Linked DNA regions of Caenorhabditis elegans. The protein of the gene in region 1 purifies or fractionates together with the protein of each later gene. This does not show direct contact. Each region holds a gene or a part of one and is shown in the gene's direction. Other genes may lie near its edges.

Region 1 (5,602 bases):
ACTGATGTTGATGCGTTTCTCTTTCCGGTTCTAGAGCTTTCTGAAGTTGCTCAATTTTCGCTACATCTATTTTCTCCTAGAATAGTGTTCTTCCTCCATCATTTAAACACTCAAACTGCAATTTTCAGAGATAATCCTTTTCTCATGTTGGCAATCACCTAGAAATCTGCCAAGTTGGGATGCAGTGGCACCACAGGACCCAAGTCACAACACCGAGTTCCAGTTTAATCTTGCAGAGTTCAATTTGTTGTCCTAAAATTAAAAATAAATGTATTTTTTCAAGTCCTATGTTTTTTCTTGTAATTAAAATCAATATTAGAAAATTGCAATATAAAACACTTCAATTACCAAAAAAAAAGTTTTTGAAAAAAGTTGTAGATATTGCAGAAAATAGTTTTCACACAATTTTGGGTGTTCAGTTTTCATGCTCTAACAAAAAATCAATGAAATTTTCAAAAGAACACAAAGACGTTATACTTTCTACAGCTTTTAACTCTGTCCGTATGTGATATAAGAGAAGTTGCCAACTTAAAAGTTGTTAGCAATATAATGAGCAACAAGTTTATTGTTGACTTTTTTGTAGAGGTATAAACGTCATAAGTTGACCACAATGTACTAGTTATATCTAGAAATAAAAAATCTCAAGAATGCCCATAACATCGGAAATTTTGCATTTTTTTACAATTACTAAACAGTTCTTTATAATCAGTCCACAAAAAAAATGTCCAAAAAAGTTCATAAGGGTTATGATCTCAAAAATCGTCACCAAGTCATCAGAAGAATATTAGAGTAATATTTTTTTATTAAATAGACAATTTCATAATGTTTACTTGAAACCTACAAAAATTCTTCCCAATGCCGTCTTTGAACGCGATGTCCCCTTTCTCGATGCCTCCTGGGAACATGTGTCGCAAAATTAGAACATACCAATCTTTAAAATATTTTACTGTTTCACAATACTTTGAAATAGTTGAATATATACAAACGTCATTGCTACACTGATGCAAACAAGTTACAAATTCCTGAAACTCGTTTGTCATCTGCTCATTCATACGTGCAGATGATTGGTGTGCTGCTCAAAACTTTCCCTGTCCGGATTCTTTTTGGCAAGCAATTTTTCTAGCCGTTCGATTTGTTCTTTCAATTTTTTCTTTTCTTCACCCCACACCATTAATTGTTGTTCAAATACACGCAAATTTTGAAGTTCATATATATTTTGTTTATGCATCCCCTCCAAGGATACAATTTGAGTCTTCAATTTTAAGCATGTTGGATTCGGAAACAGAAGTGCACCTGGACCGAAAATCTCATAACCATCGTCTATCGAAATCATCTTCCTGATATTTTTAAACATAAAATTCAATTCACTATCCTCGTTACTCAGAAATGGTGAGGTGTTTGAGGGGAAATACGATGTAACGAGAGTTTCTATAACGTTGTCCATGATAAACTGCTCCATGGTGCATTGGAGGAGAAAAGTAAATGGTCCGATGTCCGTCGGATCCCTCTATACACTCATAAAAAGTGTTCCAGGCCATCGTTTGACAAAATCGTTCAGGCTTGAAGTGTTTCTTAGAAGTTCATCATTAATAAAGTTTTCCAGACTTTATCAAGTTTTCATTGCTGGTATACAACTGATTAAAGAACGCATGCAAATATAACTTTATTACATATAGAAAACAATAGAAGGTATGCTGAAAACTTGATTTCTAAAAATTTAGGTAAAAGTTGAAAACGTTTTAATTAATTTAAAAATTTTTTTTTTTTTTTTTATTTTTAATTTAAAAAAATAAAAAATATATTTACATATAATTTTCCCGTCGCACGGCGAGCACGTGGAAGAGGTTTCCTCAACTTACTAAATATTTTTATTTCAAACTAAATGGAGTTCATATTCAATGATGACTTGAAGCGACAAATGGATTTTCTTATTGATTCAACAGAACATGCTACGGAGCGAATCAAGTTATGCCCTCTTCTTAAAAAGTTCAGTGAGCGCTTTGGGCTCAACTATTCGACCTATCTTTCCCGGTAGGAGTTGTTAGTCTGGATATTTTTAAAACTCATGTTTTAGATTCCATCAAAAACTTTGTCCACAAATAAGTAACATGGATACATACAGTGTCGAGAGCCGGATTCGACTACTTTTTGCTTTATCTGGTAAAGTTTCGGATGAATTCCTTGCAAGGTGGGATTGTAATGACATTTTCAGTGTGAGAACAAATAATTTACAGAATGCAATCCTTGGGAAACGTCGAGCTCTATGAAAACAGACGAATTGAGAAATTCGTTTCAAACGATGAAAGTCTTATCCTTGAAGATAATCAATATGGCCAACTAAATGATGAGAAATGCAAGAAATTCATGGAATTCCTGATGCAGCACACAAAAGACTTCGTGAAACCAATGTCGGCCACACAAGTTTTCGAAGAATTCAAGAAACGTGAAAATTCTAGTACACATTCATCTATGTACTTTGAGAGGTGAGCAGAGTATTATTATTATTTGTCGTTTCTTAATTATCGGTTCAGATTCCGCAATGAGCTTGCCCCGATGATTCATTTGTGGAACGCATATAGTGTAGGAGCTCGTGTGAGACTGATGTTCGTTCTAAGTCAATCAGTAGAGAATGAGTTTCTTACAAGGTGAGAACAAAATCAGGAAATGCAAAAAATGAAGATTTATCAGCTTTTCCAAGTGAATATTTTTGTCCAAAAGAAGAACATAGTCATGTTATTTATGTTTTCTTCACACGGACAATTACATCAGTTTTACAACTAAAAACGAGCCGCGACGCGACACGCAACGCGCCGTAAATCTACCCCAGATACGGCCAAGCCAAAATGGCCTAGTTTAGCTAACTCTTCCATTTCAATTTATGAGGGAAGCCAGAATTCCGTGATAATATTCATATTCGAAAAATGCTAAAGAGAAATTGGCGATAATAATTTTTAAAACTGCTCGAATTTACGATTTGCCACCAAATACACTCAAAATAAGAAAACTGCGTGTCGTGTACTGCAGAAAACCTCATATTTAGGCCCCGCCTTTTTCTCGTTCACTCACGGAGAAAAGGCAAAAATTTGGGGACCAACCAATATCAGGCCGCCGACATCCTACGGGTTCCGCGCGCCGCTATGTTCAACTCGCAGCGGGCGGAGACAGCTCGCCACACCCACTGCGAGTTAAACATAGCGGCGCGCGGAGCCCGTAGGATGTCCGCGGCCTGATATTGGTTGGTGCCCAAAATTTTGCCTTTTCTCCGTGAGTGAACGAGAAAAAGGCGGGGCCTAAGTATGAGGTTTTCTGCAGTACACGCCACGCAGTTTTTTATTTTGAGTGTAATAATATACTAAACGAGACCCAAAAAAAAATGGGCAGAACGTTCTCGTTTGACCGTAGAGCGCGATCGCGTTATGATTTCAAAATACTCATCTTTCTGTGTCGCTATAATATCACATTAAAGAGAGCATTTATGTGGAATAACGTTACTACCATAAAAATACAATTTTTCAGAATCGAACAGCTTGGTATCGTTCAGCTCGACGACAAAAAGCGAATCTGGAAATTCACATCATTTGATGAACAGCTTAAATTGCAAGGAAGACATGGTCGTTGCTCAGTAGATATAGAAAGCCCCGAGTTTGTCCGATTTGTCCAATTTCTTGTGAACAAGACTGAAAAGTCCAACGAACCAATTGATCAGCGGAGGGTGTTCGGAGAGTTTCGTGCTCTCGAGCATGGTGTACTTGATGTTACCACCTATAGGGGCAGGTGAAAAGAATTTTCTTGATTGTCTTCGAGGTTTTTGATTTAGATTCCATGGAGTTGTGGCCCGGAATATGATTCTTTTGGACAACTTATCAATCGATTTGCGCATCCGTATGATGTTTGCGTTGAGTGGGAAGATGGAGGCGAATTTTCTTTCCGAGTAAGCATAATTTCGAGTTAAACCTCATTGGCTGGAATTGAATTTCAGAGTTGAAAAACAGGGAATTGTTCGATTGGATGATCAAAATCGAATCATTGAGTATGTCGCAAACGATGGAAAAATGAAACTCAAAGGTCAACATGAAGGAAGAAAAAGAGCATGGAAGACTCGAGCGACTGGAGCGAACTCAGGCAACACAGGATCCAGTGGAAACTACAGTAAAAGGAGCAGGCGAGACGGAGAAGGTTGTTCAAGTCGTCAGGAGACTCCTCATATGGATACTGCCGGATCCTTCGATGATTCCTTCAATTTCGAAGAATTCACTCGGATGCGCTTATCGTACAACGATGTGCTGAAGAGTTTTGCGACTGTTATCGATAGAGCTCCGAAGGTTAAGATTTCTGATGACACAAAAGGGAATGTTGACAAGCACAAGGCTCAACAAATTATTGATTTGCTCAAGACTTTTACAACTGTTGTCGAAAGTGCGCCGAAATTAGAGATCGTTGATGAGTCCGAAGTACAGTGTGATGCAGTCAACAATAACAAGGCACAAGAAGCTGATGTGGAAGGATCTGAATATCCGAAGATCTCGATGCTCAATGTACTTGACAAGTTGGACAATATGCTCATTTCTCTTGAATCGGAACTTTTAAATGAGTTGCTAAATGAGATTGAACAACTTCGCGTTGGACCGGCGGATAAGGTAGTTGAGGAATATCAACTTTTCAGTTTAATTCTATCTTTTTCTTCAGATGATTCCGTTGAAACTATTCATCAATGCCATGGAGTCGATGTTGCAGAATATCACTGGAAAGTTCCAAACGAAAGATGCAGATGGGAGTACACCAGCAAAAGATTTTTTGAAAACTTTGACGCATTTTCTAAAGTGGATGAAGGTTCCGTTGCTTGCCAGTTTTCTGAAAAAAGTCGAGGAAGAAATTGAGAAACTCGGAGACATTGAACAAGTAATCTTGATAAAACATGTTGCTCAATAAAATCCAAATCTTATTCCAGAATGTCATGATCGGTGATGTTAACCAACAAGTTCGAGATTTACTGGTGTTCCTCGTGGTGTCATCCTGATTCGATGTAAATATTTAACTCTGATTTCTTATTTTATTTTTTAAGGATCTATTTGCATGTTTGAATGAATGAAAATTAACTGGAATTAATTATAGGCAGGCTTGAAGTATACTTATGCGTCGGCATGAGGATGTAGGTATCCTGGTACGTGATATATTGTATGCAGAAAAGAAATTAGGTAGGCGTAAAGTAGGCACGTAGGCAGACACGTTGGCTGGCAGTAAATAGGCACGAATGTAATGTGTAACCGCCATGCAGGTTTATAATCCAACATGAGGCAGGCAGGTAAGTAGGTAGGTATGTAGGTTGCAGTAAAGTAGGCAGACATGAGCGAGTTGCATATGACGTCATGCAGTAAGAATGTAGGAAGGCACGTAGGTAGGCATCTAGTAGACGAAGGCACACACATGAGCCAGACATGTAAGTATGAAGCAAGTATGAGGAAGGATGTAGGCAGGCAGACACGCGGTAGGCGAAAAATAGACAACCCTGTACAGAACCGCATAAAATTATTTATTCTGCTCAGTGAGCACAGTTATCAAGTAGTTCTCCGAATTCTTATCACAAAAGCCAAAGCCCAAATAA
Region 2 (6,221 bases), on another chromosome or scaffold:
GTTATATTGTGAACGTTACCTTGGCATTATAATGGAACAGCAGTCTAAACCCATATAGAAAGAACGAATATACTATTATTGCCACTGACAATATTCCAGACAATGAACACATTATCTCGGGGACGATGTACAAAATATGCGTTGCAATACTTCTATTAAAAGCGCATGCCGATATTACCATACTTGCATGGCTCATTTTTGAGTGTCCTGGAATTTGGAAAATTCAAATATTCGAAAATGACGAAACGAAAAAAAGTGAGTAAAGTGAAAATATTCAGGTAAGAGAGTTTGAAATTCGATAACTTGTAAACTACTTGAGTAGGCGGCAATATTTGACTTTGAATTCTCTTGGTTCTAAGTTGCAAATGAATGAGTGAATAAAAAGAATAAAGATTACAGAGATTACGAGGAAAGAAACAAAAAGGCGTGTAACGGAAATATGGTTCCTATTCTGGACATCAGACATTCGATATTCTTTCCGTGTTTCCAGAACTCTCTCGGGCAAACACCTACATATACTCAGTTGTTGTATGTCAGTAAAACTTGCATGTCTCATTATTATTATAGATCAGATATTCAAAGAGCGATTGTTACGCAATGAGCATAAGAAGGCGATGAAAACATGTAAATTAAAAAATCAATAAATTTGGATTATATGAGTATTTGTCAACAAACAAAGTAAAAATTTACAACATCCTTGATCATCACTCATGTACACTGAGTACGATCCACTGATACTTGAATACCAATTTTGAAATAGTCTTAACCACTTTTCGGAAAACGATATAACTAAAAAACTCCTAAACAAATTTTTCATCTCGATTATTTCAGTTCAAAGTTCTTTGAGAGATTATTAAGTTCATTGGACATTGCGTGACAAATTTCCTTATCAACGTTTCATGTCTACGAAACCGAATAAACTTAAGACGTAGGTATGAATAACCTCACTCTTGAGATTAAGTGGGTGGTATTAATGTCTGGACGGGATGATGTGAGCAGAAAATGCTCAAGTGAGTTTCATTATGTAACTTAATCACAAAAAACCGAAATTATTAAACTGTTTCGGTTAAGTAGATTACCTTCAAAAAATAAATGAAAATTGACAAAAAAAACCTTATAAATCAGAATATGTATCAACTTTTTTTTTTGTTATTTCAAATAAAATTTAACTCAATTTTTTCTTCCCCAGAAATAAACTCATCTGAAAATACTTGCAAAAAATGGATACTCGTTTATTCTTGGAAGGAACATGCTTCACTGGATTCCGTGTGTGAAAAACCGGAAAAATACTTTAAATTTTTTAACTGAAAAATAATTTTTAGAAAACAACAAATAAGAAACTTCATCACGCCCACCTTCTGATTGCGTTATCTAAGCTCTAAATTTAATTTCAAAACTGATCAGTCAAATTTTTCTATTTGTGAAGTTGACGCGTAAAATCAACGCTTTTAATTTTTTTAAAAGAAATAAAACAAAGTTATACTGCAAGCTAAATTTTTTTTCTTGAAGTTTCCTACAACTATAAAAATAATGCAGTTTGCGCCGTGATCACGCAGTATTTTGATTCAAATCGGAGAGGATTTTTTTTGAAAAATATCATGTTCTATTTATTGAATCTGAAATTTGCAACAAAAAAAAACTGTAAACCAAAAATTAACAACTTGAAATACATGAAGCTCAAGGAGGAGCAAAATACCAAATCGCTTCCGGTTTGAAACAAGATGAAAAACTAATTCGATAAATGCCTTATGATATTAATTTTCTTTATGCTCATCATGTTTGCAACAACTACCAACTAGCTCTTTCTTAATGCACAATAGAGGGTTGCATAACGACACCATGCGATAGAATAGACAGCTTGAACCGAGGGAAACATTTTAAATGCAAAGAGAGGAGAAACAGCTTTGTTAAGTGGGAAAGAAGCTCATATTGTCTTGGAAACATGCTACAGCTAAGCCCGTTTGCTAGTAACTGTTTATTTTTTACAAGTTTTGCTATAGTCACTACTCTATTTGGGAAACTTTTGTAAGTGGGAAAGTGGTACATTTTTTAATTAAAAATATAATGATAAGTCTATTGAAAAATATTTTGTTCAGTTACAAAAATGCTCCAACCCACTTTTTTTCTAAAACTGGTGTTAAAACAATAAAAAACGGAACATAGAATTTACACCACAAAAAAGGTTCTCAATTAAATTTTAAAAAAACGAAAAACAAAAATCAGCATTGTAATAGACTTTCTACAATTTGAAAAATACTGCTTGAATTTTTTATTTAAATAATCTAATAATGTACCAAAAGGGAAATACTAGTGCAAAAAATCTGATCATAAGTTTCCGAATACAAAAAAAATGTCATCGTTGGAAAAAAATCCCAAAAAAGTACACCATCTCTTTTGAAAAATTGTAATATTCTAAGTGCTTGAGCACGCGATTATAAGTACTCAAAGTGATTTTGTATAATAAACTAAAAATGTGTAAAAAGACAGTCAGAATTGTGAGCAACTAATTCGTAAATATAAACCCTTCCATTAACACACCAGTTAGAAACATGTATTTTTCTAGGGTATCGTTTTAGACAAGAGACGAGAAAAAGTAAGGGAATCAAATATTAATGAGAAGAGTCTGAACACAAACAGTTTGAAGAATATTTATGTTTTTTTTTAAACAAAACGACTGAAACAGTTTCAGATTACACATTGATATCAACAAAAGGACTTACAACCATGTTCCTGGAGAATGTGGCGTTATTCCTAATTTGCCAGGAATTCTTGGACTAACTACCAGTACCACGGGACGACTGTATATGACTACGGTATGTTGATTAATATGTACTCAACTATTGATATAAGTTCAGATTTGGAACATTTTTTTGCGATGTTCTGAAAGTTATCACAAACCTTTTAACATTTATCGATGAAAATGCAAAAATTCTTAGACGTGCAATTTTGAATAAGCTATGCAACATGATAAATTTCAAATGAAGCAATGCACTTTACTAAGTAGTCATGACGTTAAAGAGAAATACTTGATGTTTATTCCGATTTACGATGAGACAGAGAATAGAGTGAATGAATGTGTTTTAACCTTTTTCAAAAAGTTACAATAGAAATCATAGGAACAGTAGCAATATGTACATTTCAAAAAATACGGAAATTGATGTCTGGGAAATCTTAATTGCGATAACAGGTGAAAATGTGAAGTAGTTCACAAAAACAGAGCTTTTTCTTCTATTGCTCAATAAAAAGTTAAGGAATTGGATTATCTTATCAGAATATTGTAGAGCAAATACATAGGTATATTGCTCCAAAACACACTTATGACAGACTAACCAAATATCATCACAATTCATAATTTTCCAAAAGCGACTTAATGTTGAGAAACTGAGAAAGCAAGCGTCGTAAGAAATTTTGATTTGAAATTTGAACATAAATTTGAACAGAACTTTGAAACAGAATATTTTTATAGAACTCGAAAGACATCAATACAGACCAAACACATCTCTTCACATTTTACTCCGACAATCGTACCGCTCGAGAAATAGAGATTCGCGGCGGACCACCAAAATGGCGTCTGACACCAGGAGCATTAAGTATCAACAGTGAGACAAGTAATGTAAGTAATTGATGAGTTTTACTTGTCTCCAGCGCCACATGCATTCCAATAATTAACATGGCTTTGGGGTATTGGTGTTGGGCGGGAGATGTTTAATGCCAGAGCGTTTTTTTAAATTTCAGCCAAATGTTTTTGTGCACAATAAAAGGACCAACAATATCGATGTTTTTGAGACAAACGAACAGAATGATGCGTGGCAATACCGAAAAACATTCAAAGATGAGCAATTTGAAGGGTAGGATTATTTTTCTTATTTTTCAGTTGGTTCATGTTTTGAAGAGAGAAACTCTAAGTTTTTGATTAGATTTAAATGTTGAACTTTTTTGAAACTTGCTTCTTAAGCAAGTTTTCTACGTAATCGAGTTTCATTCCACATTTTTATTTCAGACTCACTGATATATCGGCTGCTGGTCTAAATTCGTTCTTTTTTGTTAAATCCAGTATATTTGGAACCAACTTTGCATTAAATATCATTGAACGGTGCAGTTTTTTTTTTTATTGAAACAGGACAGTAGAGTTTGGTAGATTTCTGCATTATCATCAAGGGTTGACTGTTTTTTTTCGCTTGTATGCAAACACTTTGTAAAAATAATTCATTGCACTTATCGGAAATTTCACGTTATTTCTTTTTTGGGTATTTTTTAAATCACTGTCTCAAGCAAAAATCCCAAATCCCACAAGAAAAAGCAATTTTCTTAAAATTTTTGTTTTTATTGTAATAATTAAGTCTAAAAACTCATGCTTCTGTTTTAACCAAATTTTTGTAAAGTAAATCTGGCTTTACAATCAATTTTCGGTATTCAAAATTTTTCAGAGTTGTACCGATTCCAACCGGTTACATTTATTTTGTGAGTGGAAATAATATACAACAAATATCCCGAGTTTCTTTCCCAACTGGCATCGTTTATGATTCTGTAAAAAAGTGGGTTTTAAAATGTGTTTTTGAATATTTGTTTTTTTTTTTAATTTGTAGATCAATTTTTGTTACGTCATCCACCAGAAACTCTATTTATCGAATGAAGGTGCAAGTCAAAAATGGAATTGAAATAGTTAGTTCGAAGGAGTACGATCTAGGCTGCTCGCCGAGCTCAATTTGGAAAGATTTTGATGGCTCATTTTTGATTACCTGCCATCCAGTTAAATTTCGGTAGGTTAAAGTTTTTGTTTGAAATGAAAAATGTCAAGTCGATAGTTTTCAGGTATTTACTCAGTCTATTTAATGTCATAACATCTTCACCATCTTTGATACTTCGAGTTGCTGTACCCACGGACAAAGATAAACCTCTGTGAGTTGTTTTCCTTGAAAAAAACAATTTCAAAATATTGAATATGTATTGATGAAATCAATTTCGTTTTTAAAAACTGATAAGTTAAGGCTCATATTTACACATCAAACAAATGTTCTATCACAAATTCCAAACGTCTTAATCAGCGCGTCTAATTGATAGTAAATTGAACACATTTGAAGAATAATGAAAATGAAAATACTTTTACATGTTTGTACGAAAATATTGTGACAAAGGAGCTGAACCACTTGAAACTTAAAACGCCCCCATCAGCGCGTAAAGAAAAAAACATATAAATTGCGTTCTGAATTATGAACACAAGACATAATTTATAGACTGAAATAAAATTCAACGCATCAAAATTTTGACTTGTAATGTAAAAAAAAAAGAAATTTATGTGTCATATTTGTCTGGCACTTTTTTGTGCAAAAATATTGTGGAAACGGGGAGAATTCACCAGTTACCAAATTTGAATGTTCGAAAAATTGACAAAACAGAAAGAAGCAGTCCTTTTGATTTGAAAAAGTTCTACGGCTAACAATGGATGCATTTGCATGCATCAAATGTTAATTATTTTCGGATAAAAACTCGAAAAATAAAATGAATCGACATCTTATATTTTTTATTATTCAGAACAATCACACAATTATACTCTAACGATGGTGCCACTATTTCCAACGCAAATGTGACAGTCCGAGCGGGAAGGAGTCTTCTTATTTCCGATGGAACTAAAATTCTCAATTGCCATTTATAAACTAGTTTTATTTGCATTGTAGTCGTTACAAAAATTTGAAATTATAAAAATGTATTAGGTTTCACTCTTGACGTCTCACAACTGGATGTTTCAAAACACTCTGATCGACTTGAAATCGTCGGAAAAAGTCGATGTTATTGTTGGGCACAATTGATTTGTCGTGAGGTCCATGACTAGTTTTATAGGAAACGGCAAACTCTCCACGCATTGAACTATCCCTATAAAATGCAAAATTTGTTTTTTTTATAGAAGTAACGAAACATACCTTATGATGAATTCTCCCGGTAGAACTAGTTGCCTACAGGCGTCTTCGTGTGACAGCGGACCATGGTAGCATGCAAGCATGTTCGGTGTGTACCTGTATTCTTGTGTCGACCTCTGAATAATTATAATTTTGCGAAAGAATGTTATTTAAAATAACCAGGCGAGTTTCCAACTGTAGCGCATTATTATGTCTTCGTTCATCGACACTTCGCAATTTTGTTGTAAGGTCATTCAGGGCGATGTCGTTATCCAACATGAAAACGTTGCACTCTCGTTTCTCAGTTCTTCCAATTTTCATCACAAT

Evidence for each region. The genes of interacting proteins can lie anywhere in the genome.
Region 2: the proteins of Y45F10C.1 (region 1) and poml-1 fractionate together in Caenorhabditis elegans (co-fractionation; one large-scale study listed by BioGRID). This does not show direct contact.

Annotation. Positions count from the first base shown.
Region 1 is NC_003282.8:13,655,828-13,661,429, reverse strand, and holds Y45F10C.1 (SPK domain-containing protein), read left to right. Parts: upstream 1-1,880; 5' UTR 1,881-1,882; coding exon 1,883-2,031; intron 2,032-2,074; coding exon 2,075-2,188; intron 2,189-2,234; coding exon 2,235-2,483; intron 2,484-2,531; coding exon 2,532-2,645; intron 2,646-3,516; coding exon 3,517-3,774; intron 3,775-3,817; coding exon 3,818-3,931; intron 3,932-3,979; coding exon 3,980-4,637; intron 4,638-4,686; coding exon 4,687-4,899; intron 4,900-4,948; coding exon 4,949-5,017; 3' UTR 5,018-5,102; downstream 5,103-5,602.
Region 2 is NC_003284.9:13,718,639-13,724,859, reverse strand, and holds poml-1 (PON (paraoxonase) and MEC-6 Like), read left to right. Parts: upstream 1-1,938; 5' UTR 1,939-1,942; coding exon 1,943-2,025; intron 2,026-2,689; coding exon 2,690-2,813; intron 2,814-3,466; coding exon 3,467-3,613; intron 3,614-3,735; coding exon 3,736-3,848; intron 3,849-4,000; coding exon 4,001-4,093; intron 4,094-4,427; coding exon 4,428-4,535; intron 4,536-4,586; coding exon 4,587-4,760; intron 4,761-4,812; coding exon 4,813-4,899; intron 4,900-5,508; exon of another isoform or gene 5,509-5,532; coding exon 5,533-5,653; 3' UTR 5,654-5,714; downstream 5,715-6,221. Other genes in the region: K11E4.6 (G_PROTEIN_RECEP_F1_2 domain-containing protein), read right to left, coding at 20-196; shc-3 (SH2 domain-containing protein), read right to left, coding at 5,715-5,871, 5,919-6,031, 6,075-6,221.